Oryctolagus cuniculus: one gene and its partners. The protein of the gene in region 7 interacts with the protein of the main gene of each other region in a pairwise test. Links are inferred from orthologs where the notes say so. Each region holds a gene or a part of one and is shown on either strand. Other genes may lie near its edges. The genes, in order: HDAC4, AP1M1, RWDD2B, LAGE3, SH2D4A, WT1 and KRT40.

Evidence for each region.
Region 1: the proteins of KRT40 (region 7) and HDAC4 interact in binary tests that used the Homo sapiens proteins (3 or more experiments, as listed by UniProt). The two-hybrid records come from large-scale screens. The link is inferred for Oryctolagus cuniculus from reciprocal best matches to the Homo sapiens genes KRT40 and HDAC4.
Region 2: the proteins of KRT40 (region 7) and AP1M1 interact in binary tests that used the Homo sapiens proteins (3 or more experiments, as listed by UniProt). The two-hybrid records come from large-scale screens. The link is inferred for Oryctolagus cuniculus from reciprocal best matches to the Homo sapiens genes KRT40 and AP1M1.
Region 3: the proteins of KRT40 (region 7) and RWDD2B interact in binary tests that used the Homo sapiens proteins (3 or more experiments, as listed by UniProt). The two-hybrid records come from large-scale screens. The link is inferred for Oryctolagus cuniculus from reciprocal best matches to the Homo sapiens genes KRT40 and RWDD2B.
Region 4: the proteins of KRT40 (region 7) and LAGE3 interact in binary tests that used the Homo sapiens proteins (3 or more experiments, as listed by UniProt). The two-hybrid records come from large-scale screens. The link is inferred for Oryctolagus cuniculus from reciprocal best matches to the Homo sapiens genes KRT40 and LAGE3.
Region 5: the proteins of KRT40 (region 7) and SH2D4A interact in binary tests that used the Homo sapiens proteins (3 or more experiments, as listed by UniProt). The two-hybrid records come from large-scale screens. The link is inferred for Oryctolagus cuniculus from reciprocal best matches to the Homo sapiens genes KRT40 and SH2D4A.
Region 6: the proteins of KRT40 (region 7) and WT1 interact in binary tests that used the Homo sapiens proteins (3 or more experiments, as listed by UniProt). The two-hybrid records come from large-scale screens. The link is inferred for Oryctolagus cuniculus from reciprocal best matches to the Homo sapiens genes KRT40 and WT1.

Annotation. Positions count from the first base shown.
Region 1 is NC_091434.1:1,667,379-1,671,441, reverse strand, and holds part of HDAC4 (histone deacetylase 4), read right to left. Parts: intron 1,878-4,063; coding exon 1,793-1,877; intron 1,074-1,792; coding exon 932-1,073; intron 796-931; coding exon 756-795; 3' UTR 1-755. UniProt on the Homo sapiens protein: Responsible for the deacetylation of lysine residues on the N-terminal part of the core histones (H2A, H2B, H3 and H4).
Region 2 is NC_091447.1:64,739,450-64,743,512, reverse strand, and holds part of AP1M1 (AP-1 complex subunit mu-1), read right to left. Parts: intron 1,209-4,063; coding exon 1,082-1,208; intron 1-1,081. UniProt on the Homo sapiens protein: Subunit of clathrin-associated adaptor protein complex 1 that plays a role in protein sorting in the trans-Golgi network (TGN) and endosomes.
Region 3 is NC_091435.1:16,633,327-16,637,869, reverse strand, and holds the start of RWDD2B (RWD domain-containing protein 2B), read right to left. Parts: upstream 2,909-4,543; 5' UTR 2,473-2,908; intron 2,332-2,472; exon of another isoform or gene 2,149-2,331; intron 1-2,148.
Region 4 is NC_091453.1:132,705,355-132,708,838, forward strand, and holds LAGE3 (EKC/KEOPS complex subunit LAGE3), read right to left. Parts: upstream 2,050-3,484; 5' UTR 1,963-2,049; coding exon 1,754-1,962; intron 1,482-1,753; coding exon 1,353-1,481; intron 1,073-1,352; coding exon 958-1,072; 3' UTR 757-957; downstream 1-756. UniProt on the Homo sapiens protein: Component of the EKC/KEOPS complex that is required for the formation of a threonylcarbamoyl group on adenosine at position 37 (t(6)A37) in tRNAs that read codons beginning with adenine.
Region 5 is NC_091439.1:3,493,900-3,497,962, forward strand, and holds part of SH2D4A (SH2 domain-containing protein 4A), read right to left. Parts: intron 1,944-4,063; 5' UTR 1,745-1,943; coding exon 1,564-1,744; intron 1-1,563. UniProt on the Homo sapiens protein: Inhibits estrogen-induced cell proliferation by competing with PLCG for binding to ESR1, blocking the effect of estrogen on PLCG and repressing estrogen-induced proliferation. May play a role in T-cell development and function.
Region 6 is NC_091432.1:33,511,415-33,516,054, reverse strand, and holds the start of WT1 (Wilms tumor protein), read right to left. Parts: upstream 2,970-4,640; 5' UTR 2,561-2,969; coding exon 2,113-2,560; intron 1,763-2,112; exon of another isoform or gene 1-1,762. UniProt on the Homo sapiens protein: Transcription factor that plays an important role in cellular development and cell survival. Recognizes and binds to the DNA sequence 5'-GCG(T/G)GGGCG-3'. Regulates the expression of numerous target genes, including EPO.
Region 7 is NC_091448.1:21,607,532-21,612,273, forward strand, and holds the start of KRT40 (keratin, type I cytoskeletal 40), read left to right. Parts: upstream 1-1,596; 5' UTR 1,597-1,662; coding exon 1,663-2,109; intron 2,110-2,785; coding exon 2,786-2,868; intron 2,869-3,127; coding exon 3,128-3,284; intron 3,285-3,933; coding exon 3,934-4,095; intron 4,096-4,173; coding exon 4,174-4,299; intron 4,300-4,742. UniProt on the Homo sapiens protein: May play a role in late hair differentiation.

The DNA of each region.
Region 1 (4,063 bases), on a different chromosome or scaffold from region 7:
CTCCACGTGTCCGGCCACACCGCCGGGCTGCACCGGCCACAGGAAAGTGTCCCACCGATTCCTGCTGCTCAGTTTATCTTAAGGCATTGTTCCTCAGACTTCAGAAAACCCAGCCCCAAAAATCCATCCGGGCAATAAAAAAAAGGCACAAACTCGCATCTCCGACGGCTTCGAGAAACCGAAGCCGACGCCCCGGGCTCGCACTGTGGTTCTGTCAGGTTTTGTCTTCAAAGGTTCGTCTGCTCTGCCCCCGCCGCAGACCGCCGAGGGCCACGGGGGTGGGCCAGAGCCGTAGAAAACTTCCTCTTAAAAAAAAGAAAATGAGCTACAAGATGAGTTGAGTGGTTTACACGGAGACTGTGGAATTGTGGGTCCTAACCGAACTTGAAGCACCAGTTTTGATCAAGTCTGTTTTGCATTATTAGATCTTTGATTTCATTTTCTGTTCCTTGCATCGACTGAATCCGGCAACCCTGCCACGAGTCGCCGCAGGCCTCTGGCGGCTTCCCTCCTGGGAGCCGGCGGTGTGCCTGGCCTCCGCGTGTCCGTGTGTCTGCTCGCTGCCGTGTCTGTCCCGTGCTCCGCGGGACGCTGCCAGGCCCGCGTGTGGGCGGCAGAAGGGCTCCCGCTGCGGCCACGCGCCTGCGCCCCAGCACTCGAGGGGGCACCGCGGCAGACGCGGGTGAGCGGGAAAGTTTCTTGGCTGAGCTTCAAGACAGAGACAAACAAACAAGGGAACAGCGCCTTCCAGAGCGCTACAGGGGCGGCTCCTCCTCCATGGGCTCCTCCTCGGGTCTGCGTGGAGGGGGCAGAGGGGAGAGAACCACAGGGCCGTCACCGCAGGGCCCGGCCCGGCCCCGCCCCGGCCCCGCCCCGGCCCCCTGCTCAGGGCGGAACCTCTCCCAGGCTCTGCCAGGGCCCGCGAGCTCACCTCTTCTCGGCCGGCTTCACGCCCACGGACAGCGAGGCCATGGCCGTGACCGTCTCCGCCTCCTCGTTCTCGCACTTCTGCGCCTCCATCAGGGAGTGCCCGGCCGTGGAGGACAGGCGCTGCAGGCAGCGCCAGTACTTGCCTGCGGGCGGGGAAGGCGCACTCAGGACCAGGCAGGAGCTGTCGCAGGGCCCGGGGTCTCGCGAGTCAAAAGCACCTCTCTGAAGCGGCAGGCCAGCCCACTCGTCTGGGCAACATTTCCGGGTAGCCAGGGGCATCGAGCCTGCCTGGGATCACCTGGCGCTCCCTCCGCACCTACAGGTCCCCGCAAGTGCAGTGACTGACAGACCTGGGGGTGTGCCCGGGGCTGGGAGCGGCTCTGGGCCAGGAACCCGGGAGCCGATGTCTGGGACCTCGTGGGACTGGGGGTGGGGGCTCCCGTGGGGCCCCTGCCTTGGGACTGACAGACGCTGGGGGTGTGCCCGGGGCTGGAAGCGGCTCTAGGCCAGGAACCCAGCCCCCGCACAGGCACACCGGGAGCCGATGTCTGGCTTTACCCACCTCTCGGAGGGCCTTGCCCACTCGGGTCTCCGAGACCCAGAGATAAACAGGGATCTGCGGCGCGGACACGTGTGAGACAGGCGAGCCGGCAGGGGTCCCCCAGGGCCTGTGCTCACAGGGCAGTGGTAGGAGGTTGCCCTGCAGCCCCCCACTCGGGCCCCCAGCCCTGGGCTGCCCGGCGCTGCTGGGGCCCCCGCTCTCTGGCCTGTGCAGTGGGGTAATGTGTCGTCACGGGAGGCTGTGGCTGCTTCTACCCGCTCAGCAAAGGCCAGCTGACAGCGGCTGGGCCCGACCACTCACTGTGGATGTCCATGACCTTCTCCATGGAGCGGACGGCGTTCGCGTTGGGTCTCTGCTGGACCACCTGCTCGGGCAGAGGGTCGAGCTGGAAGAGAGAGGGACACACAGTGGCTACCCAGCCAACGTGGCTGTCGCAGCACGGGGCCAACCCTGCCCCTGCCCGCTGCCGGGCCGTTCGTGGAGTGCGTCTGCCCGCAGGGAAGAGGACACTCAGAAAGGCTCACGTGGCCGCGGGAATCTATTAGCTCACTTCCTCCCGGCCTTGGCCGCGGGCTCCCGGCGCTCCTGCCGGCAGGTGGAGGGAGGACAGGGCCCGGGCGCGAGCTGCTGCCTGCTCTCCGCCCCCGGGCCACGCCAGGGGAAGCGGTTAGTGTGCTTTAGGAGCATCGTGTTCCTCTCCACCCGCTCTGCTCCCGCATCTCCTGCAGGCCGCTGGTGGCCATCCCCCCACCTGCCCTCCTGGGCCCATCCCCTGTTGGCACAGAATGACAGGCAGAGGCGAGTCCACAGGGACACCTGTGAATGACCCAGGGGCCAACCGGGGAGGTAAGACTCCTCCACGGAGAATCCTGATCACTTGTACACCACCCCTGCCCCTGCCCCGTCCCTGGTGTGGCTCGGCTTGGAGCTGGTCTCTGAGCTGTGCACGGTGACTGGGGCTCAAGGAGGAGGCCAGCACAGAGGAAGCCGCCCAGGAGGGCACTGGCGCGAGGGCTCCGTACACCTTAAAACCTCCCAGAGATCAAAAGTTAAACGAGCTGGTTTAGACCCCCCAAGACTGCAGTCACTGAAACCGTCAGTTACAACTTAAAACACGCTTACTGCACTTCAAACACACAGGAAAACACTCATGTGTGAGGAAAAGCCAGAGAGTGCGGTACCTGACCTGGAAGACTTGGGGGAGGGGGAAGGGGAGGGGGAGAGGGGGAGAGGGGGAGAGGGAGAGAGGGAGAGAGAGAATGAATTAGCAATCCAAGCGTGGCAGCAGAAAGCTGGGCACGCGATGAGACCAGACAGGAGAACACCGTGTGGAGGGGCACCCGAGGCAGTGGCCCAGAGCAAGCCCAGAGGGTGGGCTGTGGGGGTCTGTGCGGCTGCCCGCAGGTCCTCAGGGAACAGGGAGAAGGGACGAGGGGCAGCCAGACACGGGGCTCCGGCCCTGGGGCCTGCAGCCTGGGAGAGGGGCAAGACCCGGCAGGCAGAACAGGAAGGGAAATCCATGCCTAGGCAGGATGGCGACACCAGGCGGACAACCTCAGGGGCCGAGGGAGCCGATAGGCACGCGGGCATGCCGCAGGAAGCGTGGCCTGGTGCTGTCGGTGCAGCCAGAGAAGCGTCTGCGCTGTCTGGAGCTGGCATTGCAACCAGCATCCTGGCTGCTCGGCCTCCAGTCCCAGCTCCCAGCTCCCGCGCCTGGCAAGCCGAGGAAATGGCACAAGTCCTTGGGCCCCTGCACCACATGCAATGCGCTGGATGGAATCTGGGCACCGGCTTAGGCCTGAACCAGTCCTGGCCACTGTGGCCACCTGGGGAGTGATCCATCAGATGGAAGACTGATCTCTCACAGTCTCTCTCTTTCTGCATTTCAAAAAAATAAACAGGGGCCAGCGCTGTGGCACAGCAGGTGGAGCTGCCGCCCGCAACACCAGCATCCCATAAGGGTGCCAACTCGAGTCCCGGCCACTCCACTTCCGATCCAGCTCCCTGCTGATGGCCTGGGAAAGCAGCGGAGGATGCCCCAAGTGCTTGGGCCCCGGCACCCACGTGGGAGACCTAGAGGAAGCTCCTGGCTTCAGCCAGGCCCAGTCCTGACTGCCGTGGCCATCTGGGGAATCAACCAGAGAATGGGACATCTCATTTTCTCTCTGTAACTCTGATTTTCAAATAAATGACCACAAAGGAAATGGGCTGAGTAATGGTCAAGTGGAACTAGGGACGTGTGGCTTGCAGGGAGCGAGTCACAGCCAGCCTCATGCCCTTTGCAGAAGCAGCGTCTGCGGCCCGAAGGGGCTGATGGTCAAGGACAAGACCCCTGGGTCGCAGTGCTGGAAGACGTGGCACACGGGGTGCAAGGCAAGCACCACGTGCACGCGGGCAGGGCCCCTCTGCCACGACGAGATGCACGCAGGCAGACGGGGGTAAATCTGCCTCCACGGGGGAGCGTCCCACTCGTCTTAGACCCAGCAGCCAAGCGGACAAAAACCGGTGAAGAAACAAAAATGTGCAACTAGGCAGCATGGGTAAGGGACACAAACCAAGTCCTGCAGAGCT
Region 2 (4,063 bases), on a different chromosome or scaffold from region 7:
TACACTGTGTGTGTGCACTCTGCGTGTGTGCACTGTGTGTGTGTGCGTGCCCTGTGTGCAGGCTCCTGTGGCCCAGGCCGCCCCTGTGAGAGCATCCTGTGGGGGACAGGTGTGTGTGTGTACGTGCACTGTGTGTGTGCACTCTGTGTACGTGCACTGTGTGTGTGCACTGTGTGTGTGTGTGCCCTGTGTGCGTGCACTGTGTGTGTGTGTGTGCCCTGTGTGCGGGCTCCTGTGGCCCAGGCTGCCCCTGAGAGAGCGTCCTGCAGGGGACAGGTGTGTGTGTGTATGTGCACTGTGTGTGTGCACTCTGCGTGTGTGCACTGTGTGTGTGTGTGTGCCCTGTGTGCAGGCTCCTGTGGCCCAGGCTGCCCTTGAGAGAGCGTCCTGCAGGGGACAGGTGTGTGCACTGTGTGTGTGTGTGTGCCCTGTGTGCGGGCTCCTGTGGCCCCAGGCTGCCCCTGAGAGATCGTCCTGCAGGGGACAGGTGTGTGTGTGTGTGCTATGTGTGTGTGTGCACTGTGTGCCCTGTGTGTGGGCTCCTGTGGCCCAGGCCGCCCCTGGGAGAGTGTCCCGAGCTGCAGAGCACGGGGCACGCGGGTTCCAAGCCTCCTCCCGGTGGCGGCCCAGCTCACCGGAGTCTCCAGCAGGCAGCCCAGGGCCCAGACAGGGGAGCTGCTTGGATGGAATGTGTCTGCTGAGTGACTCTCAGACCTGGCTGCGTGAAGCGTGGGGGTCCCCGAGGGCTCGCGCCCCGCCACTGGGGCCTGGGTCCTCTCTCAGCTTTGTACTCCACACATGGCAACGTGGGTCAGGCTCTGCTCGCCCAGAGCAGGCAGAGCTGCTGGGCAGGCCTGGGCACGGCCGCAGTCCGGAGAAGGCCTGCGCCACCCCAGGCTGAGCCCCTGCGTCCCCTGCCCCACCCTGGGAGCACCAGCCAGCCTGCGAGAACGGGAACCCGTGTGTGGCCCTCACCCAGTGCGGACCCAGAGCCCCAGGAGAGGGCAGAAGCAGAGCCCCGAGGGACGGGAACTGCACCCTGGGTGTCTGAGGCCCCCGCCCAGCGCGGCCGGCTACTCACGGCCCGTGTTGTCGAAGAGGACCTTGTCGTTGAGGCCCAGGCGCAGCTCGGGCATGCCCGAGAGGAAGACGCGCATCTTGATGGAGCCCACGATCTCGCTGCGCAGCACGTTGCCGTTGGCGCTCACCTGGGGGGCGCGGGGCGGGGGGCCTCAGCTCACCCTGTGCTCCCAAGGTTCGCCTCCCTACCCAGCCCCCTCCCGGTAGCCCAGCTCAGGCCAGGCCACGCCCTCCTCCCACCCACACCCTGCTCAGAGTCCCGGGCTCACCCCTCCCCCAGCCTTCACAGCAGGGGCTGTGGCCGCCTCCCCCCCCCCCCCCCCCCCCGCCCCAAGGACTCTGACCCAGGGACACTAGAACACTCGCAGGGCATGGGCCGACCCTGGAGCCCAGCCGAGCCGAGGCAGCGGGGGCCCAGTGCCTGCCGCAAGGGTCTGAAGGCACCACGTGGCCAAAGGGCGCCCGCCCCTGCAGTGCCAGGCGACAGCCCTGAGACCGACCTGGAGAGACAGGCTCTGCCCTCCGTGTCTCGGTGGCCCGTGGGGGTCTGTCTCTGTCTTCCCCTCCAGCAAGGGGCAGGCTGCTGGCTGCTGTGTCCCCCGGGAAGCAGCGACTGGCCCACCTGGGCTCCAGGACAGGGCACCTTGGGATCGCACCTGCGGCGCTGTCAGGACCCTGTGTGCTACCTGCCGGCCCCTCACTGCTCTCCTCTGGGAGCTGCCTCCCGCAGCTGCGGGTAGGCCTGGGAAGGCGCTGATGCCAGCCCCGTGGGCAGCACTCGGGGCTGTGGCCTGCGCTGAGGTGGCACCCCAAGTGCCCCCAGCCGGCCAGGGCGGGCGCTGCCGAGATGTTTGCCAGGGCCCGGCTGCTCCGGCACCCTGCCCCGTCCAGCTGATCGCGATCTGGAGGCAATGGTGACGCGGCCATGGGCTCTGCAGTCAGACCTGGAAGGTGGCAGCCCCACACCCGCCCTGGTGCCAGCCAGGGTGCAGAGGAGCTTGGCCCTCCCGGCGGAGCCATACTCTGCTCTCTCCAAGTTACTCCCCCAGGGCACCCTGGGCAGGATCACAGCTACTGCGGCCGCTGTCACAGGGCAGGCAGCTCTGCTCGAAGCGCCAGTCCCACAGCTGGAGGCTTAGCTCTTCAGAAGTCCCAACCAGGGCCGGCAGGTGGCCCGGGCCGCCACACAAGCTGTTGCCTGAGGGCACAGCAGGGTGACCCACCTGCTGGGACTGGCTGAACCCACAGGTTCGCCCGACAGCAGGTGCTGAACCAGAGCTCAGGCGGAGAGTGCGCCTGAGGTGGGGGCGGGGAGCAGCTGGGAGAGAGCGAGGTGGGCAGGTGGGAGAGGGCGAGGTGGGCAGGTGGGAGAGAGCGAGGTGGGCAGGTGGGAGAGGGCGAGGTGGGCAGCTGGGAGAGGGCGAGATGGGGCAGCTGGGAGAGGGCGAGGTGGGCAGGTGGGAAAGGGCGAGGTGGGCAGGTGGGAGAGGGCAAGGGGGGGCAGGTGGGAGAGGGCGAGGTGGGCAGGTGGGAGAGGGCGAGGTGGGCAGGTGGGAGAGGGCGAGGGGGGCAGGTGGGAGAGGGCGAGGTGGGCAGGTGGGAGAGAGCAAGGTGGGCAGCTGGGAGAGGGCGAGGTGGGCAGGTGGGAGAGAGCAAGGTGGGCAGCTGGGAGAGGGCGAGGTGGGCAGCTGGGAGAGGGCGAGGTGGGCAGCTGGGAGAGAGCGAGATGGGGCAGGTGGGAGAGGGCGAGGTGGGCAGCTGGGAGAGAGCGAGATGGGGCAGGTGGGAGAGGGCGAGGTGGGCAGCTGGGAGAGAGCGAGATGGGGCAGGTGGGAGAGGGCGAGGTGGGCAGCTGGGGAGAGAGCGAGGTGGGCAGGTGGGAGAGGGCGAGGTTGGCAGGTGGGAGAGGGCGAGGTGGGCAGCTGGGAGAGGGCGAGATGGGGCAGCTGGGAGAGGGCGAGGTGGGCAGCTGGGAGAGGGCGAGGTGGGCAGGGGAGCCTCCAGCTGGGCTGTGGGGCCACAGTGCGGATTCCTGATACTCGGGAGCAGGGCACTCACGCAAGACACGTGGGACAGCGGGGCTCTCTCCCCCGGCTTCCACCCACAGGACCCAGGGAGGCCCCGGTAGGGAACAGAGGGCCAGGGGCCCAGCAACCCACCTCCTCAGGCTACACACAGAGACCCGTGAGGGGACCTAAGATCCCAGGCCCCAGACGGAGCCCCAGCAGCGCACGTCTGGCACGCAGGCCTTGAACACAGAAATGATTCTGTGGCCCACAGGCTGAGCGCTGAAGTGGTGGCCTGAACCCAGGCAGGTGGACTGCTGGCTAAAATGAGAGCATCAACACTTCCCTTACGTTGTAAACGAAACCTAGAACCTTATCATAGGTCACGGCCGACAGCCGGCATGTAAGCCAAAACCACTCAGCACACCAAGAGCTGCGAACATTTCGGAACATGGCCCCGAGATGTCAGCCCTGGCGCTGACGCTGGGATGGTCTGAGGCCCAGGGACGCAGGGGAAGAAGAGGAAACCGAGACCAGCCAGGGCCGTTCCAGGAGTGTGGGGCTGGGAAAACCATCGCGGCACGCACATCGACAGTGCAGGAAGACACCCGACGTGACCGCCAGCTTCCCACTCTCCAACTCTGCCTTTCAAATGAACGAGCTCGTGTTTATTTATTTGAAAGGCAGAGTTACAAAGAGGGAGAGGGGGAGGGGCGAGAGGAGGAGAGGGAGAGAAGAGGAGAGGGAGAGAGGGGGAGAGGGAGAGCGAGATCTTCCATTTGCTGGTTCACTCCCCAAATGGCCACAATGGCCGGGACTGGGCCAGGCCGAAGCCAGGAGCTTCTTCCGGGTCTCCCACGTGGGGAAGGGGCCCAAGCACTTGAACCATCCTCCGCTGCCTTCCCAGGCAGTGAGCAGGGAACCGGATGGGAAATCGGGCAGCAGGGTCTCAAACCAGCGCCGTACGGGATGCTGGC
Region 3 (4,543 bases), on a different chromosome or scaffold from region 7:
GTGGCTGGGAACTGGCCAAAGCGAGGAGCCAGGAGCTTCTTCTGGGTCTCCCATGCAGGTGCAGGGGCTGAAGCACTTGGGCCATCTACTGATTTCCCAGGCCATAGCAGAGAGCTGGATCAGAAGTGGAGCAGCTGGGAGTTGAACTGGTGCCCATATGGGATGCTGGCACTGCAGGCAGTGGCTTTACCCACTATACCACGGCGCCAGCCACTGGGTAGCTCCTAAAACCCCAAAGTTATAAAGTTGATGGCAGAAAAATGGCCCAAATTTAATCCATTCATAGTGTTTAGGAGCTGTACCTAGTGGGAGGTTCTCCGGTCAACGGGAGAGTGCTATCAATAGTAGTTCTCTCAAGAACACTGGTTATAAAAACCAAGTTGAGTTCATCTATTTTCCTTGCTTCCTGGCTTGCCATGTGATTCTTTCTCCACCTGCTTTCCCCCTTGCTATGTGATGCCTTGCATCAACTCAGGACTCTGCTCCTATGAATGTGATTATCAGATACCAAAAACCTGATCATGGACAGCAAAACTCCAAAACTGTGAGCCAAAATAAACATTCTTCCTTCATAAATATTTCACTGTAGTAATGAAAAGCTGACAAATAAGTACCCTAAAACTATTCCTGGCCCTTCTCTGCTCTGGACAGCTGACCTCTGTAACCCACATCACCCTGCTCTTCTGACTTTCTTGTGGTTGGGTTCAGCCAACATTCAGGCAGGAAATGAGAGGACCGGAGGAAGAGCCCAGAGTCTTTCTTCATTATTCCTTCTTTGCTTTGGAAGGATTCTAAACACCACAGTTCTGCAGGAAGCCCAAGAATATGGCACATTTTCTGCTGCCTGTACAGGCACATTAGGAGGAAGCTGGATCAGAGGTGAAACAGCTGATACTGGAACTGGCACCCTGACATGGGATTCTGGCATCACAAGAAGCATCTTAACCTGTTACACTGCAACCCCAGTCCCAAGGCCTCTCTTGTGAGATGACTGCATGGAAGAGACTAGAAGGTACTCAAAAGGAAACCATGTGTTTATCTGAGCAAAGGGTGCGCTAGGCAGAAGGAAAAGCATGTTCAAAGGGGCAGGAGGTTCTAAAGCACCTGGCTAGGGCATGCTGAGCAGGGGGCAGGGTGATAGAAGAGGTTATATTGGAAATATGGAACCTTGGTTTTTATCCTGATACGGAAGGTCACTGGAAAAGGTCTGACACTTGATGCTCAAGAGAACAGAGGAAAGCAAGGAGACCACACAGGTACTGCCGTGACTTGGAGAGATGAAGATGGCTTGGGGGTCAAGGCAGTGAGCAACCATTAAGATTTTGAACATACGGTCGGCGCCGTGGCTCAATAGGCTAATCCTCCACCTTGCGGCGCCGGCACACCGGGTTCTAGTCCCGGTCGGGGCGCCGGATTCTGTCCCGGTTGCCCCTCTTCCAGGCCAGCTCTCTGCTATGGCCAGGGAGTGCAGTGGAGGATGACCCAGGTGCTTGCGCCCTGCACCCCATGGGAGACCAGGAAAAGCACCTGGATCCTGGCTCCTGTCATCGGATCAGCGCGGTGCGCCGGCTGCAGCGGCGGCCATTGGAGGGTGAACCAACGGCAAAAGGAAGACCTCTCTGTCTCTCTCTCTCACTGTCCACTCTGCCTGTCAAAAATAATAATAATAATAAAAAAAGATTTTGAACAAACACAGTAGAGCACACAGCATTTCCTGATGGATTACATGAGATAGGTAGCCATGATTCCAAGGCTTTCAGCTACTGGAAAAGATGGATTTGCCATTTATTTAGATGGAGGAGATTGTGGCGATCTATAGCTTGGTTTTTGACATATTAAGTAATGAAATGCCTATTGAGACACCACTTAGAGATGTCCAGAAAGCAGCTGAATACAGATACATAGAAGAATTCAGCTGCAGATGTAAGTTGAGGAGTCATCAACGCTTATTTAACGTTATGTGTTTAAAGTCACCCAGAGGGAGGGTCAAGTTGGGAGAGGGTCCTATTGAGTTTGGGGTCTGGAAAATGAAGCGGAATCGACAAAGTCTGTCAGAGGACCAGTGAAAGGACAACAGAGGAAGTGAGGTCACAAGGGATGTCATTTATTTGCCAGACGGTTTTCGTTGATGAGAATTTTCCGACTCACGATTTAAAGGATGTACAATGCAAGTTGACTTTCGTGAGTGGGCTCGGCCTTGGTGATTACTATTGTTCGCCAAAGAGCACCACCGCCCGCGTCCTGAAAGGCGCCCACCGTTGGGGAACTGGGGCCCCAGCTAGAGACGGGAATGTCGGGCCCCGGCTGCAGGCGGGGCACGAGGGCGAGGTCGGTTCCGACCAATGAGAGAACGCGCAGCGCGAGGGGAGGCGGAGCCACGACGTCGGCCAGTTCCGGGAAGGCGGTACGCACTGCCGCGGCGCAGGAGCCCCAGGCCCGCCGTCCCTGCTGCTGGGCGGACGGGAGACTCACCTCTGGCAGCAGCTCCCTCACTGCTGGAGCTCCAGGCTTCCTTGCTGCACGGACTGCTCAAGTCGCGTCTGGAGGAAGCGTCGGAATCCGCGGTTACGGCCGCCCGACCTTTACTCCTCGCTCTTGCGCGGTGGCCTGGGGGGCGTGAGAGCGCGCCCTCAGCTGGCGCATGCGCGCAGGCCAGGCCGCGGGTTCCGGAAGCCGAGGACGCCCTGATCTGTGGGTTCGGCTAGACATCGGCACCGGCTTGAGTTTTCCTCTAAAGTCGGATCAACAGAAGGAATTCTTTGGCCCCGTTAGGTGCGTCTCACTCGCAGAGTCTTCCTTTTAGGGCCCTCTGCATTCCAGCCCCATCGGCGCTTCCCACCGCTGGCTGTCGGAGTGGAGCGGGCGCCGTGTCCTGGGACGCGGATCTGCCCACTCAAGTTGGGCTCCCGCAGCGCCTGCGTGCCTGGGAATCCTTGGGGAGTCCTGCCGCGGTACAGATCTCTACTGGGTAGGGAGGAGTGGGGTCCCAATTAGCGTTTCTAGTCTCTCCACGCAGTGGTGGTCCTTGTCCATGAACCATAGAGGAGCAAGACACTAGGGTGATGGCCTGTGTTCTTACCTGGTAACCAAGCAGGGAGGACCGGGTGAATACGCAGAATTATTTATCTCTGTTACTGAAAGGAGAGTTAGAAGGAGATTCCAGCACGGGGGGTAGTTACAGGGTGTTCCTTCTCATTCTGTATGCAGTGCACTTTTTGTAGTGTTGCACGCTTATTTTAGGAAAGTCGTAAGGTTTGTAGGTATTGATATTCACTGGTAGCTATTATCACTGCTAACTTCACAATCTTCTCTTTAAAAAAATAAAAGATGATAGTAAATAGGTCTTCAGAGCTGCATCTGAAGGCGCTTGTGTTTTGTGAATGGTTTTCAATGTTATTAATTCTTTTTCCTCGAACCGTGGGTATAGAAAATCTAAAGCATAAAATAAGGATGAGAGATTTTTACAGTGAAGCAGTAGAACATTTCTCAAGGAAGAGTGCCTTCACCCCTGTTGAGCAATGTCAGAACACATTTTGGGTTGTCACCACTGGAGCGATGCCACTGGCATCTAGTAGGTGGAGCCTCGGGATGCTACTCAGTTGTCTACAATCCAGAGAATGTGCCACTACAACTAAGAACTTGCTGGTCCAAAATGTTGATATTGTTGAGGATAAGAAACCTGTTTTTAAAAATGTTTAAAGTTTATTTTCATTTATTTGAAAAGTGGAGACAGAGATCTGCCAACGGTTAGTTTACTCCTTAGATGCCCCAAACAGCTGGAGTGAAGCCAGGCCAAAGCCAGGTACCTCCAGCTGGGTCTTCCATATGGGTGGCAGGAACCCAGGTACCTGAGCCATCACATGCTGCCTACCATGGCATGTATCAGCAGACAGCAGGAATTTGAGCACCAAACACCAGCTCTGAGATTAAAAGCAAAGATGTAGAGAGATCAGCATAACATTTTTTACTTTACCTGCTTTGTCACTCATCAATCCATTTTTTTCTGATACATTTTATTTACTTTTAAATTTGTTTCTTTGAAAGGCAGTTACAGAAAGAGAGTAAGATCTCCCATGTTCTGGTTTATTCCCCAAATGACTCCAATGGCTGGGGCTAAGCCAGGCAGAAGCCAGGAACTCCATACTGGTATCCCATAGTGGTGGCAGAGGCCAAAGCACTTGGGCTGTCTTCTGCTGCTTTTACTTGCACATTAGTAGGGTACTGGGTTGGAAAAGGAGCAGCTGGGACTTGAACCAATACTCACTTGGGATGCCACCATTGCAGGCAGCAGGTTAACCACTGCACCACAACACCAGTTCTTCCGATAGATTTTAAAGTAACTTGCAGATTAGTACACTTTCCTTGTGAGTGTGCCTATCATTAGTCCTAATTGAGTTTTCTTTTGAGTTAAAAAGGAAATGCATATCTTAAATGTACATTTACTGAGTTTTGAAAAGTGCGTACACCTGTGTAACTGAAACCCTATTAAGACATAAAACATTGGGACCGGTGCCATGGCCAGTAGGTTAATCCTCCACCTGCG
Region 4 (3,484 bases), on a different chromosome or scaffold from region 7:
TTTTCCTGTTCTATTTCTTAAATTGTCTACAATTAAATTTTACCTTTAAGATTTATTTATTTGAACAAGTGACACAGAGAAAGGTGTGATGGTTCACCACACAAATGGACCAGACTGAAGCCAGGAACCTGGAACTCTATCTGGGTTTCACACATGGGTGGTAGGGGCCCAAGGATTTGGGCCATGTTATGCTGCTTTTCCAGGGGCATTGGCAGGAAGGTGGATGGGAAGTAGAGCAGCTGGGACTCAAACTGGTACTTATACGGGATGCCAGCAACGTAGGTGGCAGCTTAACCCACTGTCCCTCAACACCAGCCCCAACTTGCATTTTTTTTTATTTATTTTTATTTTTTGACAGGCAGAGTGGACAGTGAGAGAGAGAAACAGAGAGAAAGGTCTTCCTTTGCCGTTGGTTCACCCTCCAATGGCCGCCGCGGCCGGTGCACCATGCTGATCCGATGGCAGGAGCCAGGTGCTTCTCCTGGTCTCCCATGGGGTGCAGGGCCCAAGCACTTGGGCCATCCTCCACTGCACTCCCTGGCCACAGCAGAGAGCTGGCCTGGAAGAGGGGCAACCAGGACAGAATCCGGCGCCCCGACCGGGACTAGAACCCGGTGTGCCGGTGCCGCAAGGCTGAGGATTAGCCTAGTGAGCCGCGGCGCCGGCCCCCAACTTGCATTTCTTAAACATGTGAATCTCGTTTCTTCCACTGCAACTCCAGGACAATGGCAAGGATATTTGTATGTGAAAAGGATATGAAACTGGGAAGAGGTCAGTTTTATTTTCTGTGGTAGCAAACATTTAAGCACTGGTGAAAACAAACAGATCTTGAGCACCCAGAACCCAATGCAGGCAAGCCATTAGGCCCCATCCTGCTTCGGGCATGATCGCCCTAGGGAGACACATTTTCTAGGAGGCGAGCAAGGTAACAACTGGGCCCCTTTACCCAGTCCAGTCTTAGCGGGCAACGGGAGGCCCGAAGCGCTGCAGGGTGCGCACCACCAGGGAAAGCTGCTCAAGAAAGCTGATGATGGAAACTCGGAGGAGGCGAGGATCTTTAGCTGTCCAGCGGCTAAAAGGGAAGGAACAAGAAAATCAAGTCGGGGACAGTAGCTGCCCACATCCCTTGCTCTACCCCTCAGGCATCCAGTGCAGCAGATCCTGGAAGCCCCGGTATTACAGGGCCTCTCGGGCAGCGTCCCAGACCTGCTCCTTAGACTTCCCCCGGAGTGCCTCCAGGCCTCCCAGCCTACCTCTCAGTGGAGAATGGCCACATCCCCTGTTGCCTTCCCCTCACCGCCTCCCGCTCCCCCACTCCTGCCACCCCACCCCCGGCCCCCGGAAGCATTTACACCGCCAGGACGGTGCCGGTCACTGCGAGGTCCTTTCCAATCGCTTCTGGGTGAGGCTCAGCATCTGGAGCCAGGGACTCACAGGCGATTTCTGCCTCCAGACGGGTGGGAAAAGGCACACTGAGGGTACTGGTGGAGGTTTGGTAAAGGCACCATCGGAAGCGACTTTGCCCGAGTCTGTTTCCCTGGCTCTTCTGACGGCTTCCATGACCTCTCTCGGGCGCCCCCCACTGGCTAACGCTTTAATCCCACAGCCATCCGGGCGGCTCCGATTACCCTGCTCTTCTTTCTGTGCTACCGGTCCTCCCACTCGCCCTTCCCACCTTCTGTTCCAGGCTACCCTGCCCCCACCACGGGCAGCCTCCACCCCCTTCCCCCACTGTGCCCCTCCCGCAGGATACAAGGAGTGTGGTCGCATTCCCGGGCTTGCGGCTGCTGTCGCGGCGTCTCCGCCCGGAACGGCAGCGTGCGGTGCCTGCGCGACTTCTCGAGTTCCACGGGCTGCAGCTGCTTCTGTGTCGGTACCATCGGGAAAGTCGCGGCCACGCCGTCCACGCTGGGTGTGAGCGCCGCCCGCCACGCCGCCTGCGCCTGCGTCCGCAGCCTGCATGGCTGCCGCTGCCCCGCCCTCAACCCCACCCTCAGGGCGCTGCGCCACGGCCCGCCATCTCCAGGAGCTTCGTAGATTGCCCGCCCTCCTGAAGCTCCGCCCCTCGCGCACGACCACGTCCACGCGCGCCTGCGCAAACACACCTTTGACGAGGCTGTTGGGACGCCTCGTGAGTTCCCGCGATAGTGGCCCAACGTGGGGGCTCTTGGAGACCCTGGCAGCTTCAGAAACACTGCATTCGTGATTCGATGCTAGTGCGCTAGCCAGAACATACCTCCAGTGAAGCAGGCAGATGCGTGGTCGGTTCCCGACAACACAGCGCTGCTGGTACCCACAGGCCCTGGAGAAACTGAGCTGCAATATATATTTTTTTTAAGATTTATTTATTTTGGGGCCGGCGCTGTGGCTCACTTGGTTAATCCTCCGCCTGCGGCGCCGGCATCCCATACGGGCGCTGGGTTCTAGTCCCGGTTGCTCCTCTTCTCTCCAGCTCTCTGCTGTGGCCGGGAGTGCAGTGGAGGATGGCCCAAGTGCTTGGGTGCCTGCACCCGCATGGGAGACCAGGAGAGGCACCTGGCTCCTGGCTTCGGATCGGCGCAGCGCCAGCCGTAGCGGCCATTTGGGGAGACCTTCTCTCTGTCTCTTTCTCTCACTGTCTAACCCTATCTTTCAAATAAATAAATTTTAAATAGATTTATTTGAAAGAGAAAGAGGTCTTCCATCCACTGGTTCACCAGTTGCCCGCAACTGCCAGAGCTGCGCCAATCCAAAGTCAGGAGCTTCTTCAGGGTGTCCCACACAGGTGCAGGGGCCCAAGGACCGGGGCCATCTTCTACTGCTTTCCCAGGCCACAGCAGAGAGCTGGATTGGAAGAGGAGCAACCATTTCATAGCGTTGCTGGCTACAGCCTTACCTGGTAAACTACAACGCCACCTTGGCTCTAGATTTTTTTTCCGTCGCTGAAGTTTGCCAAATGTATCGTAGTTCCATTGTATCAGTTCGTTCTGTTAGGTAACAAGATCGATCTCAGACTGTGTGTGAGGCTGTTAGGTAGCAAGGGAGAGATTAGCTGTGTGTGTGAAGAGGGCCTAAGGAAAACAAAGCCCTGGTGGAAAGCAATGTAGCAGCCTGGGACGTGCACTTGGGCAGCAGTCCTGTATTTTTTTACACGACAAAGCCCTGTCCACCCCCGTCACTTTATTGGTGGCCCCAGCCTTGCCTCCCAAAAAGGCACCCCAGGAGAACCCTCTGTCTGGCGCTAAGCAGGCTGCTCAGTCTGATAACTGGGTAATAAAACTTTGGGAGGGATTTCACCCATTTCACACCCAGCAAAGCCCTTGCGGGGAAGAGAAACAGGGAAGAACTGGACCCCAGTCCCTCAGAAGGCCCGGTCTCAGTGCGGACTGGGCTCTCAGCTCAGCTCTTGGTTCTTTGGCGCTTGGCCCATCAGGAAAGTTCTAGCCGCTGAACCTTGCCCTCCCCATTCTGAATGACTGGACACTCGCTCAGGTGCCCAGTTCCG
Region 5 (4,063 bases), on a different chromosome or scaffold from region 7:
ATATCTCTGCCTCTAGTTTCTAATACGTAATTTAAAACAAAAGGATTATTCTTCAGCTGAGACGTGCTACTCATTGAAGAAACAACTCTATTCTAAATAGTGTGGAGTAACGTGAAATCCAACAGATCTAGCGGTCTAAGAGGCTTCAAAAACTTTCTGAGAAGTGGAGTCTCAAGTATGAGTTTATTTGGTACAAAAAATTTTCATGCAAAAAGCAAAAAATTTTTCACGGTGCATGGCAAATGCATATCATAAAAAAAAACGATGGGTTTCAAACTTTGTTTTGTACTGAAATAAACTCACTTTTAGTTCTATTAGTCCACAAACCCTTTGAATACTAAATAAGGCAATTAATGAGGATTTTACAAAAGTTTCTCCACTTCCAATCCAGCTCTCTGCTGTGGCCTGGGAAAGCAGTAGAAGATGGCCCAAGTCTTTGGGCCCCTGCACCCACGTGGGAGACCTGGAAGAATCTCCTAGCTCCTGGCTTCGGATCAGCGCAGCTCCGGCCTTTGAGGCCAACTGGGGGGTGAACCATTGGATAAAAGACCTCTCTCTCTCTCTCTCTCTGCCTCTCCTCTCTCTGTGTAACTCTTTCAAACAAATAAATATTTAAAAAAAAAACATAGTGTTCATCAAAGCACATGGCAGTGTCTGAAGCACCACATTGCTAATAAACAGCTGATGTTGACAAAAACAATAATAAGTGAAGTATTCCTTAGCATTATGAAGGCTTCATTAAGAAGCAGTTTTAATAAAGGCAGCGTTAAGTTAAGTTAAGTTAAAGGTCACTGAACCAACTTCCTCTCCCAAGCACACAAGTGAGATTCATTTTCTCAACCTCACAAGCCTGCAAAGATCTTATCAAACGTTATTCTTCCCTGGCTTAATGAAAAATGAGAAGAAACTGCCCTGGAATGCCTTCGTAAGCGACCCTGAAAATGGCTTTGTTTGTTAACCGCTTTGGGGTTCGTCCTCAGCAGAGCGTGTGCTGGGATGGGGCGTGCAGACGGACACACAGCAGAGCGGTTCACCCGCTGCTCCCCGTCTGTGCAGGTCAGTGTTCACCGGTCGGTGCCCCCTCCATGGTCTCAAAGAACCAAAGACCCCTCTCAACGTGCCAGGGACTCCTCTGGTGTGAGGAAGTACTCCTACATCCGAGCACTTGACTCCCACTAAAAAACAAACAGGACATCACAAGTCCTCTTTGTTGTAGCTCCTTAGATTTTAACAGGGAGCATTCCTGAAACAGAAAAAGACAGCTCGCACGGCTGACCCAAGAACTCTGTGCTCTGCCAAGCCAAAAGGCACCTCCAGCAGACAGGGGAGCAGCAACCTTCCTCCCACCAGCAGGTCAGGCCCCGGAGCTGACCTGTCCTTCGGCCCCTGGTCAACAAACAGCCTGAGTGACCGCATGGAAAACGCCGCGCCTGTGAGTAGCCTACAGGTCAGCAAAGCTCTCTTTCAGGATCCGTCCACCACCCTGCACCCGGCCTGCGCGTGCTGGCGTGAGGGTGCCAGAGCGGCCAGCAGCCAGGCCTACCACGGCGCGGCTGGGCTCACCTTTCCTGGGTCTGGGTGTCACGGGCAAGGCCTCCTTCTTTTCCAGCGCCGCTTCTCTCTCTTTCCACCGCCGGATCTGCTCCTCCCTCATCTTGAAGAACAGGATCTGCTTCTGCTCCTCGCTCAGCTCGGCCAGCAGATCGGGATCTATGTACATCTCCGAGAGTATCTGTTTCAGCATCTTGGCGCTTCTGGAGTCTTTTACAAAACCCGCGGCCAAAGTTCCTGAACGTGGCCTGCAGATGCGGTGCCGGGTGCACCTCAAGGACTCCCAGGGGCGCACGTGGCCTGGTGATCACGGAGGACTGGGAGGGTAACTCAGCAAACCGGCTCCTGGGCCGTGGCACCAAACATCCTGTTCAAAACGCCTCTCGCCAAACCTGCAAAGAGCAAGCATGGGCTTCTGCATAAACCTTGGAGGAAATTCAGTATCACTTTTCACTTCTTGGCCGGGGGGTGGAGGTAGGGGTTGAGAAACCTCCAAGCAAGTTTCAGAGTTTGTGCAACGTCGATCCCATCCCATAATTTCCAAAGGCACTCTATAAAAAACAACACAACAACAACAACAACAACAACCACCCTAACTTTTTACAGGCCAATCTCAGGAAAATAAAAAAAAAATTTTTAAATTTTAAAAAAACAAACAGAGGTTTGGCCTTCTCCCAACCACACAGACATATTATTAGCTCAAAACCTAGCAAACCACCAACTGATGGCTAAAAAAAAGCATAACAGGAAAAAAAAAATGGGGGAGGCAGGAAGAAATTAAAAGGCTCTTTCCATACAACCTATTTCAAAAGAAAATACCATGTTTGAGATTTCACAGTTACGGATTCCAAACCAAACCAAACCAGAGCCATGCTCGGGGAACAAAAAAGAATAAAAAGGTGACCACCATGCAACTTTGACATGTTCCCTTCAAAGCAGCACTTAAGAACACCATCATGTATTTGTCCTTTCACACTAAGACAGTGCAATTTCCAGTCGACCTATGAGGGCTGTGGAAACAGCAGGTGCAGCAGAGAACACCCAAGCACCTCCTGGGAGGTCCCTGGGTTTAAATGTGCCTTTCCCAGACACCTCCCTTCACAGAATCTACGACCTGCGAAATACAGAGGCCCTGAGGTTCCTCACACAGGCCTTTGATTTCTAAAATGCGAGAGAAGGTGACTTTAGAATGAAGCCATGCACTTGGGCACACACAGAGGGGTGGGGGTGGCAACTCCACCAAGGTCTTCCATGCTGTTTACACATTTCCATTTGGCTGAATGTTTTAGAAAGATGCCAAGCCTTCATAATTTTATAACTAGAAAGAAATTATTATTCTGAGGGAGAAAAGGGACTTTGTTTCAATATAGCAGGATATGCAAAATCTTACTATAGTTTTTCAGGGTCATTGATGTTCTAGATAACTGGGTGCTTACCATGCCTCTGTAATCGCACCTGCTAACCACACCCTCTCAGATTATCTGGTTCCTCCATGGTAAGTTCAAATACTCGTAAACTTTAGACTAATAACTTAACCCTATCACAGCCACAATGGTTTGCGTTCCTCTTATTCTCTTCCCTGCCACGCGTGATGCTGGAGCTTCGTGTACCTGTCACCACCCGGAATCCCTGGCAGCGTCCCCCGGCCTCCTCTTCCTCACCAAGCGGCTTCCCAGCCCACACCAGTCCTTCCTGACAAGCATGCTAGGTGGCCAGGGTTTGCAGACACGACACTCAGATTCACCAACTGCTGGCTGTGTAGCCTGGCCATGTTGCAGCAACCGCTATTCTCACTGCAACCTACAATCTACTGCAGCTTTCAACTACCTGAATCCAGTGAAGCGAACATTCCATGAACAATTAACTGCAAGGAGGGTCCCTGACTCTAACTCCGGCAGGCACATCCCTCCCAGGTCCTTTGCTAACGTTGTGTCACCTCCTGGCTTTGAGGTGACCCTCCGAGGCTTTGGCCACAGAACTGCTGTCTTGCAACGATTTCTGCACTCTGATTCTAACAGCTTCTAAAGGTAGGGAAGCCAACTAAACCCACATCCTAGAGATGATACTCCTCAGGGCCGGCGCTGTGGTACAGCAGGTTAAAGCCACAGCCTGCAGTGCCGGCTTCCCATATGGGCACCAGTTCAAGTCATGGCTGCTCCTCTTCTGATCCAGCTCCCTGCTGATGAGCCTGGGAAAAAAACAGAGGATGGCCCAAGTCCTCTGCTGAGCCCTTGTACCCACGTGGGAGACCCGGAGGAAAATCCTGGCTCCCAGCTTCAGCCTGGCACAGCCCCAGCTGCTGTGGCTATCTGGGAAGTGAACCAGCGAATGGACGAGCTCTTTCTCTGTCTTTCAAATAATAAATATATCTGAGAGAGACAGAGAGAGAGAGAGAGGATACTCCTCCTCCAGGAAGGATTGGGCTGGCTCCAAGGCACTGGATTCCAGTGCTGGAGAGTGCACGGTCCAGTGCATGGTTCAGAACCCAGAGGGAAGACCTCTTGATATCCAG
Region 6 (4,640 bases), on a different chromosome or scaffold from region 7:
TCTCAGCTGCCAAGGGACCCCCAAGGGCTGGGCCTGCTCAACCCATTTCTGTTTTGTTTGGGAGAGAAAAATCTAAGCTGGCAGACTTGGGGCCATCTCCCCATCTGGCTTTCCCCCTGGGAAGGATAGGCAGATGCAGTTACCTGTTCATTCTGGTCTCCCACTCCTACTCTTGAAGCCTGTCCACTGGAAGGGCCTTATAACTGTCCCCAGGAGTGCAGTGTCCACTGGTTGAGAACCTCACCTCTGCCCCTACATGTAGGTGGAATTGATGGAATCTAAGCACCTGCCCACCAGGAGACTGGACACTGGGGCCCCAACCAAAGCCAGAGAACCCAGGTTTCAAGATTCGCAGGGCAGAACTGAGACTCAAAACGGAGATAAAGGTGCGGCAGTCTTTGGTTCCCCCGGGGTCTTGGATAGGAAGCTTCTAGGGTCTCTCCAGATAACACAAGTCCACCCACGGACTTGTGTCACACACCTGCCGGGCGGCGGCGCGTCTGGAACCCTGGGCTGTTAAGGTACGCTACTCTGTCCTGGACGGAGAGCCCCGCGCTGGGAGAAGTCAGACTGCCACTTCTCTCCCCGACACCTCTGAGGGCAGACCCAACCTCCAATTGTCCATCTCAACTCTCCTCTGACAGAGGGGGAAACTGAGACCTGGAGATTCCATAAAGGTTAACAGCAGCCTACAGTAAGAGGTGGAGCGCCCCGAGAACATGAGTCTCTGAGAGCCACAGTAAGTGCTTCCAACAGCCCTTGCGTTCCAAAAACTTCATTCCCGAGAGGCGGAGAGGGGCCCTGGGGTCTGCCTAAGGTTCCTCCGTGGGACCCGGTTCCCAGATTTCTCTGGAGGAAACTGCATGGTTTCGGTTTTGCCACGGCTTCGGCTGGGCCAAGGGCTCCTGGGTGGTCGGGAGAGCCACGCAGACCCTCTTTCAGAAGACGCAGGTGAGAGCGAGAAGAGCCAACCTCTTCTTCCGTGCCTCAGGGTACTTCGTGCCTCCTGGTACTTCGGGAACACGGTGCACAACAGTGCTCCTCCTACCCCACTCATTCTAGAACCATCCCAGTCCTGGGCCTGGGCGAGGTGGTGATCCAGGAAAAGCGTCCGCCATTGCGTTTCCTAAAACATCCCATCAACCCGAACCGGTTTAAGGTTCTCAACAGCAGAGACATGCAAGGAGAATAAACGAAGGGCCCGGACCACAGGCGCTCGTTCTAAAGGAGTCTGCGCTGGTCGGGACCAAACGTCACGCGCGTGGACGCCCGCGCGGGTATAAGAGAATCACCGGCCGACGTCGCTCGGGGGGAATCGACTGAAGACGGCGAACAAGCCTGCCTTGTCCTAACGCATCAGGTTGCAAACTCTCTCCCTGGTTTACATTACGAGGAGGCGCGCCAAGGGCATCTGCTCCGGCCTTAAATGCCTGCGGTAGCATTTGGAATCGGGTAAGCTGGGTTCCTGTCCGTGGCTGGAGCCTCGCGTGGCCGCTGCCTGAGCGAAACCTGAGAGACCGCCTAAGGCGCGCACTCTCCACCAGCACAGGCGCGGCTCAGGCAAGCCACCTGGTCACTGCCCCACGGTTCTTCCTGGGTGCCAGTGTGTGCCAGCACCGTATTAATACCTGGGGAGCTCCTGGACATTTTGGCGCGGCGGGGCGGGGAGGCAGGCCCGGGATGCTCACCCGCGCTGCTCCCAACCTGACCCCACCATCTACACACGTCTAAAAAGTGCAATGCCTAGTGATAATTTGGAGGCGCCAAAAGCAGGGGAAAAAAAAAAAAAAAAACAACTCGTGGCCCGAGGCCTGGCCGCACTCTGTACCCTTCCCCTTGTTCCATTCCCGTGAGGGGAGGATTCGCGGGGCCCCAGGCGGACTCCCGGCTCATGCGAACCGCTAGGCTCCCCGCTCTGCCGCGCTGTGGAGAATGTCGGGAGCCTCTACTGGCGTGCGCTCCCCCGCTCCCTGGCCAACGCTTCCGCCACCCGCACGGCCATAGCGGAGGCTGCGGGGCCAGAGCTGAGATCCGGGACGGGGGAGGGGAGAGGAGAGGCCACGCGCGGCGACAGCTCCGGCGCCGCCGCCTCGCGCTCCCCCGCCGACTCACCCTGGTTGCGAATAGCTGGCTGGCTCTCGAGGCAGCTGGGCAGGTATGGTGCGTTGGGGAACATCCTGGCCTGGCCAGAGGAGGCCTGGCTGGGCGGAGGAGGGCCGAAGGGCCCGTAGCGGCAGGCTCCCGCTGTGCCGGTGAACTGGCCCGAGAAGTGGACCGTGAAGGCGCTCAGGCACTGCTCCTCGTGCGGCTCCGCGCCGCCCCAGCTCGGCTCCTGTTTGATGAAGGAGTGAGGCGGCGGCGGCGGCGGCGGGGGTGGCGGCGGAGCGGGCGGCGGCGCGGGGCCGCCCAGCGAACCGTAAGCCGAGGCGCCCGGGGGCGCGAAATCCAGCACCGGCGCCCACTGCGCGGCGCCGCTCACTGGCAGGGTGCAGCCGCCGCCGCCGCCCAGCGAGGGGACGGCCGGCAGCAGCGCATTCAGGTCCCGCACGTCGGAGCCCATCTGCTGCAGCTCAACCGCGGACGCCCCGCGGCCTCTCCGGCCCTGCGGACGCTCGGCGCTGGACTCGGCCGCACCTAACTTGGCCCAGATGCCGCCCGGGCCCCGAACTCCCGGCTGCTCGGGCTGCTGAAGGCACGCGGGCCCCGAGCAGAGCGCGTGCTGAGATGCCGGCTCCGGGGCACACGTGGAATCCGGCTCCTGCGGCGGGAGGAAGTCCAGGATCGCGGCGAGGAGGCGGCAGGGCCCCGGATCCTGGGCTGCCGTCCCGGCTCTGGGTGGCTGGGTGGGTGGGTGCGTGAGTGGGAGGTAGGGCGGGAAGGGGGGAGCCGACAGGCGGTCGGCTTGCGGAGAGCCCCCGGGTGTGGGCGCTGCCTTGAACTCCTTACCCCAGCTGCCTGGCTGCCCCCAGCTTCCCAAAGCTCAAATAAGAGGGGCCGGCGGCGGGGGAGGAGGAGGAGCCTGGAGGCTCGGCCGCTCCATTCACACCGCAGCCCTAGCCGCGCTGGTCAGCGCGCACAGCTCCTTGGGGGCGCCCTCGCCGCGGGGGCGGGGGGGGGCGGGCCTGAGGGAGCGTCCCTCGCCGAGACACCCTCCTCTCCCACCCGCCACGCGCTCTCAGCAGGCCTGTGTGGCGCAGCCCTCCCCCCACCGCCCCATCCTAGCTTTCAGGAGTGTGGGCGCCTCAAGGCCGCGGGCGAGTCCCTCCAGGTAAGCCGTGTGACCCCCTCTGCATCCTTGGAGCTGGGTGGTTCATCCTAGAGGGCGGGCTGGAGGGAGGAGCAGGTGGGATCCAAGAGGGCGGGAACTGAAGGGGAGCGAAGAAAGAGGCGGATACCCTGGGTATTTGCGCCCGCGACTTCGGCTCTTGCTTTACGAGCCGTCGAGTTGGGATGATGTCCGTAATCCTCGGGTCACTGGGGTGGGGGCGGCCCCTTTGTGGATTCCGGGGGTCGAGACCCAGGGCAAAAGCGCCCCAGCTGGGCATCAGTTACGCTAAGCGGGGCGTGTTGGATCGTCTGGGCGTGGGTTAGTTGGTAAGGTCTGAGAGGGGGGCGGTTGCCGCCTACCTAAAACTGCTGCCAGCGGCCCGTATTTTCCTTTTCTCCCAAGGAGTATCCAGTTGTGCGGTTAAGCCGGGAAAAGCGAGGCTAGTTTGGGAGGAAAGAGAACCCTTGGGGAAAACACCCGGAGCCTGCCTATACTCTGGCCGGAGCATCCCGGCGCCCAGTTGAGGGAGAAAGAGGAATGGAAATGGGGAGGGTTCGGATGCGATGCTTGCGGAGAGAGGTTGGCTCCTGAGACCGCTCTGCCAGGCACTGCCTCTGCTTCTGGTCAGCAAAGCGATGGACACGAGGCCCAGGACGCAGCGGGACAGGGAGAGCCTGCCTCGGCTCTACGTTGCGCGGCAGTGTTCGCACCGTGGGGGGCTCCGAGCGCGTGGCTTCGCCAATTAGACTCCTCCCTCCACTTAGGCGCTGTCCCGCGGAGCCCCGCGCGCTAGAGCAGGTGTTGGGGAGTTGGTTTTGTTTTGTGAGTTCTTCCAAAGTAGTGAAGATCTATCGGGAACCAGCGTATGGGTAAGGAGAAGGGCCGGGAGCCCGAAGCGGGGAGCGCCTCAGCGGCGCACAGACACGCAGAGCGCCAGGAGGCAGCGGCGATGGCGCAGCCTGGGACTGCCAGGCGCGCGGGGCAGGAAGCAGCCGGTTGCTGAGAGGCCTCGCGCGGGAGGCCGGGGCTGGGGCCCGCGGCTCCAGCGGCGCCTAAGTGAAGCGACCATGGAGGTCGTCGCAGTTGGTCAAAGAAGCCGAGTGCTCCGGTCGCCTAGACCCGTTCCACATTTCTTAGACTTCGGTTTTACCCTGCGTTGTGTGGACGCAGCCTCGGTCAGCTCCGCCCGCTCAGGACTGCTGGACACAGTTTCCTTCCCTTGGGGGTCGCGCACCGAGAAGGTGCAGGAGACACCGTGGGTGAGGGTCGGCGGCGCGAGCTCGCTGCTTGCTCCCCTGACACCTTGGCTGTCGCGCACACCTCCCGGCGCCGCGTTGGTGCTGCACTTCGCTTCGCCTTTGCTCAGCAGCTT
Region 7 (4,742 bases):
ATAAAGATGTTAAAGTTTCTAAAGTCAATCTTTTCTATGCATCTTTGAAAATGAAATACATGCAATTAAAGCCAAGAAATAGATTATGCTTCATAATAGAAGTTAAATCCAAGAGACAATGAACAAAGCTACATCTCAAGTCCCTGTCCATCCACTCTTGCAGCAGAGACTTCTCCCAATGAAACTGCTGGTTTGGGACCAATATGATAGAATTTTATTCTCCAAATTCCAGGAGTTTTAATTTTCACAGAATTTAGGACTTGATTAAATTTTAAAAATAGATTCAATATCTAGAAAAAAGACTTCCATGATTTCTTTTCCCCTACCCTGAAGTGTAATCAAGGAGGATTTCCCAAGAAAGAAAGACTGTAACTTAGAACTTCCATTTCAGTCTTATTAAAATACAAGTTTAGGGCCGGCGCCGCGGCTCACTAGGCTAATCCTCCACCTTGCGGCGCTGGCACACTGGGTTCTAGTCCCGGTCGGGGCACTGGATTCTGTCCCGGTTGCCCCTCTTCCAGGCCAGCTCTCTGCTGTGGCCTGGGAGTGCAGTGGAGGATGGCCCAAGTGCTTGGGCCCTGCACCCCATGGGAGACCAGGATAAGTACCTGGCTCCTGCCATCGGATCAGCGCGGTGCGCCGGCCGCAGCACACCGGCCGCGGCGGCCATTGGAGGGTGAACCAACGGCAAAAGGAAGACCTTTCTCTCTGTCTCTCTCTCTCACTGTCCACTCTGCCTGTTAAAAAAAAAAAAAAAAATACAAGTTTAAAAAATAGCATAACTGATCAAAAATGATGTGCAGGAAACACAGAGGAGGTAAGTTTCAGAAAATCAAAGATCCAATTCCAGGTCTTGATGACCAATTTATGTTTTTTTCTGCCAGGAACAACTTGCTCCCATCAGCAGTGCACAGCATTCTTCTATTGCTATACAGGGAGATGGCACACATGTGCACAGCACACACACTAAAAGCCATACACATCTCACTGTTCGCAAAAAGCAGGGCAATATTACCCATCACACTCACCATTTTTATGGCGGTAACACAAACAAATAAACGTTACTGAGTTGTAGTGCTCATTTTAAAAGTAGAAGAGGGGAGTCCATAGGCTCCAAACTTAAAGCAAAGATAAGGAAGTGGAAATGCTGAAGGGAGCTGTTTACACCATGTACATGTGTTGAAATATTGCGCCGTGCCCCATAAACAGGCACAGGTCTTACAGGTTAGCTTTCGAAAGTAGACACAAGGATCAGTGCACAGAATCAAACTCTGGGGCCATGTAGTTTTCCTCCTGGTGATGGGTTGTACCTGTCATTATTGCTTGGCTGAATTTTTTCTTTCTGTCAAAAGGACAATACTTTCTATGATGATTTTTTGAAATAAGAATTTTGTTCTACTGACCTGTGGAAATAGTGTAGGGCCTGATTTAGTAACCTAAAGTTAGCCCTCTTTTATGAGGCATGAAACTCTTCCTCCATAAATAAACAACACTAATGAAACGTTTGTATGGAAACTGGTACCGACAGGGTACAGAAAACATCTGGTGCCCCGGTAAATACCCAGGGCAGGGAAGTGCTATATAAAAGTCTCAGGAAGGAAGGAGACTTTTTGAGTCAAAGCAAAGGAGTTTTGCAGACACTCTCTGCTCATCACTTCAAGAATGACTTCCGAAGCTTCCCACACACACTGCTCTTCTGAGTCCTGTGCCAGAGCCTCTGGCTGTGCACCTGCTTCCGCCCACTCCCTGGAAAGGACTTGTCTCCCCAGTGACGGCTCTGCAGGCAGATGTCGGAGCCCCGGCTTCCTCTCCAGGTCTTGCTTGTCCACCCGTTGCCTCACGCCATGCTACTTGGTTGGGAGTTGTGACAGTCCATGCTTGGCAGGGAGCTGCGCGTGGTGTGAGGATGGGATGCTCAACAGCAACGAGAAAGAGACCATGCAGCTCCTGAATGACAGACTCGCCAGCTATCTGGAGAAGGTGCGCAGCCTGGAGGAGACCAACGCCGAGCTGGAGTGCAAGATCCGAGAACAGTGTCAAGAGAGTATCCCACTGCCGTGCCCTGACTGTCAGTGCTACTTCAACATCATTGAAGATCTCCAGCAAAAGGTTCCGTGTCTCGTCACCTTAATGTTCCACCTTCCTAATCTACGATTGGCTTTACCTTTACCTTAGAAGAGGCATTCTTGCGGAAAGAAACCAAAGGAAAGGCGAAATCTGTGAGTTCATGAGATATGAAAGAGAGGGCACAGGACTGAAGGTTAGGAGTCAGCAGCAGCCCCACAGCTGCCCCTGTTCACCAAGGGGCTATGATGGGGACAGGGGCTGGTGGTCTTCAGCTGTATCTCCTATAGAGTGTGTGTGTGGCACTTCCATATGCATCCCTGCACATTTATATCAATTTTTACACCAGAATTGAAATGCCATTGTTATATCATACAATTTCACCTAGAAATCATTTTCTTCTCTTACGGATGAATTTCTATTACTGTTGGTGGGGATACAGTTCTAATACAAACTACTGATGCAGAAGACCTGAACAGCATTCAACTGCCAAGCAATATTGGGAAATGTCCTGAGCCCTTTTCATGTCTGTGCTTTGATTCTAAGTTGGCACTGCCTTTTCTCTTCAGTAAGTCACAAAGTTAACAAGCAAGCAGGCTGAAAGCAGCTTGATTCTTTCTTACATCCCCTCACAGACAACTAATGGCAGAGCCATGAAGGGTACAGGTGTTCAGGTTTCTTTCCAAGAACCATTTACTTTACCTAATAACTTGCTTCTCAGATCTTGTGCACGAAAGCAGAGAATTCTAGACTTGCTGTACAGCTCGACAACTGCAAACTGGCTGCTGAGGACTTTCGGACAAAGTAAGTTTACCTGCAATTTGAATATAATTTGTGGTTTTCTTTCTGTGTCTCTTACACACAGACACACACACACAGAATATTCTCTATATAATTTTTTCAAGCTAAAATATTCTAAAAGCTCAAATTTGTAATTATTTCATACACAAAATAAACGACAGCATGCGGCTTCCTTGAGCCTGTGTGTCAATCCCCCAGTGCACCCAGCACTTACACGGTGTGTGGGAAAGCAGCATTGCATGTATCTCTCTTGCTGTGTAAGGTACGACAGTGAACTGTCCCTGCGTCAGCTGGTGGAGAATGACATCAGTGGCCTGCGTGGGATCCTGGGTGAGCTGACCCTGTGCAAATCTGATCTGGAAGCCCAAGTGGAGTCTCTGAAGGATGATCTCCTTTGCCTTAAGAAAAGCCATAAAGAGGTGAGAAAGAGGCAGCAACCCAGAAGGAGTCTAAGAGTGGAAACGTTACACTGGTAGAGTTCAAGTTGATGTGTGCAAACTGAACCTGGGAGAACGCTGCTGAAGCTGAACTAACACTCCTCGAGGCTCTACTGCGCTCAGCCTGACCACTCCACTGTGACGTCCACCTCAGATAGGGCATGAAGACGCCTCTGGTATCCAGACCAGTTTTAAATATCCCATTTCTATGAACTTTTTAAAATCATAAAATACGAAAGTGTTGATCTCGTTTTGATGAACCAGAAAATGAAGTGCAGAATCATGTAATAGATGTGTTTTCTCTTTGGGCATTTGTGGATGATGACAACAGTTCACATTTACTGAGAACATCCTCTTTGAAGCAACTTCCTAAATTCTTTATATGTATGCACATATTAACTCTTCCATATCTCACAATAATCCCCCAGAACAAAATAAAATTACTATGCCAATTTTGCAGAAGAAACTGGGCACTTGTAAGGGGGGGGAAAGAGAATTAGCCCAGGGCATCAGAATTAAAATCCTACACTTTTACTCAGTATTTCACAACTCGGGAATGGGATGCCACTGTGTGTCGGATGGATTTTGCCCTACTGCTCTGTGACATTCTTCACTCCCTTCCCACTTTCAGGAGGTCAACTTGCTCCGTGGCCAGCTCGGTGACCGACTCAGTGTGGAGCTGGACACCGCCCCCACCATCGACCTCAACGAGGTCCTGGATGAGATGCGCTGTCAGTATGAGACGTTGCTCGCCAACAACCGCAGAGACGTGGAGGAGTGGTTCGCTGCTCAGGTCAGGCCCGAAGCAACATGGGAGCAGGACTCCCCGCATGTGCCTCGGCAGGGTTCTCTAACCATGCCTGTGTTTCAGACAGAGGAGCTGAATCAGCAGCAGCTGTCCAGTGCAGAGCAGCTGCAGGGCTGCCAGACGGAGATGCTGGAGCTGAAACGCACAGCCAACACGCTGGAAATTGAACTTCAGGCACAGCAAAGCCTGGTGCGTATGGCAAAGAAGGTGTCCGCCTTGTCACTGATAAATCGGGCTCTGACAAACACCCTTTCCCACAACCCAAGGCAGAGATCCCCAGTTCGTGTGGCAGGTCTGGATTTCCAAGTTGCAAGGATTCCGCTTCCTTGCCTTTCCAACCACCATGCTTACCCAGCTAGAGGCAGAAGTGACAGGTCAACAGCTTGCACCGGCCCACCAGGGTGTTCTAACCTTCCCCGCAGGCCTGAGTGCGATCCTGCGGCACCCCCCAGAGACAGGCAGGAGTGGAGAGGCCACAGCAGCATAGCACGTAGGCAGTCCAGAGGATTTTAAGTCTCTTTTGATCAGGCCAATATGCCAAGATCACCATTATACTAAAACAAAGACTTTAAACTTTTCACCCTACAATGATCATAACACTTCTCAGGATCCACACTTCACCCTGATCCTTC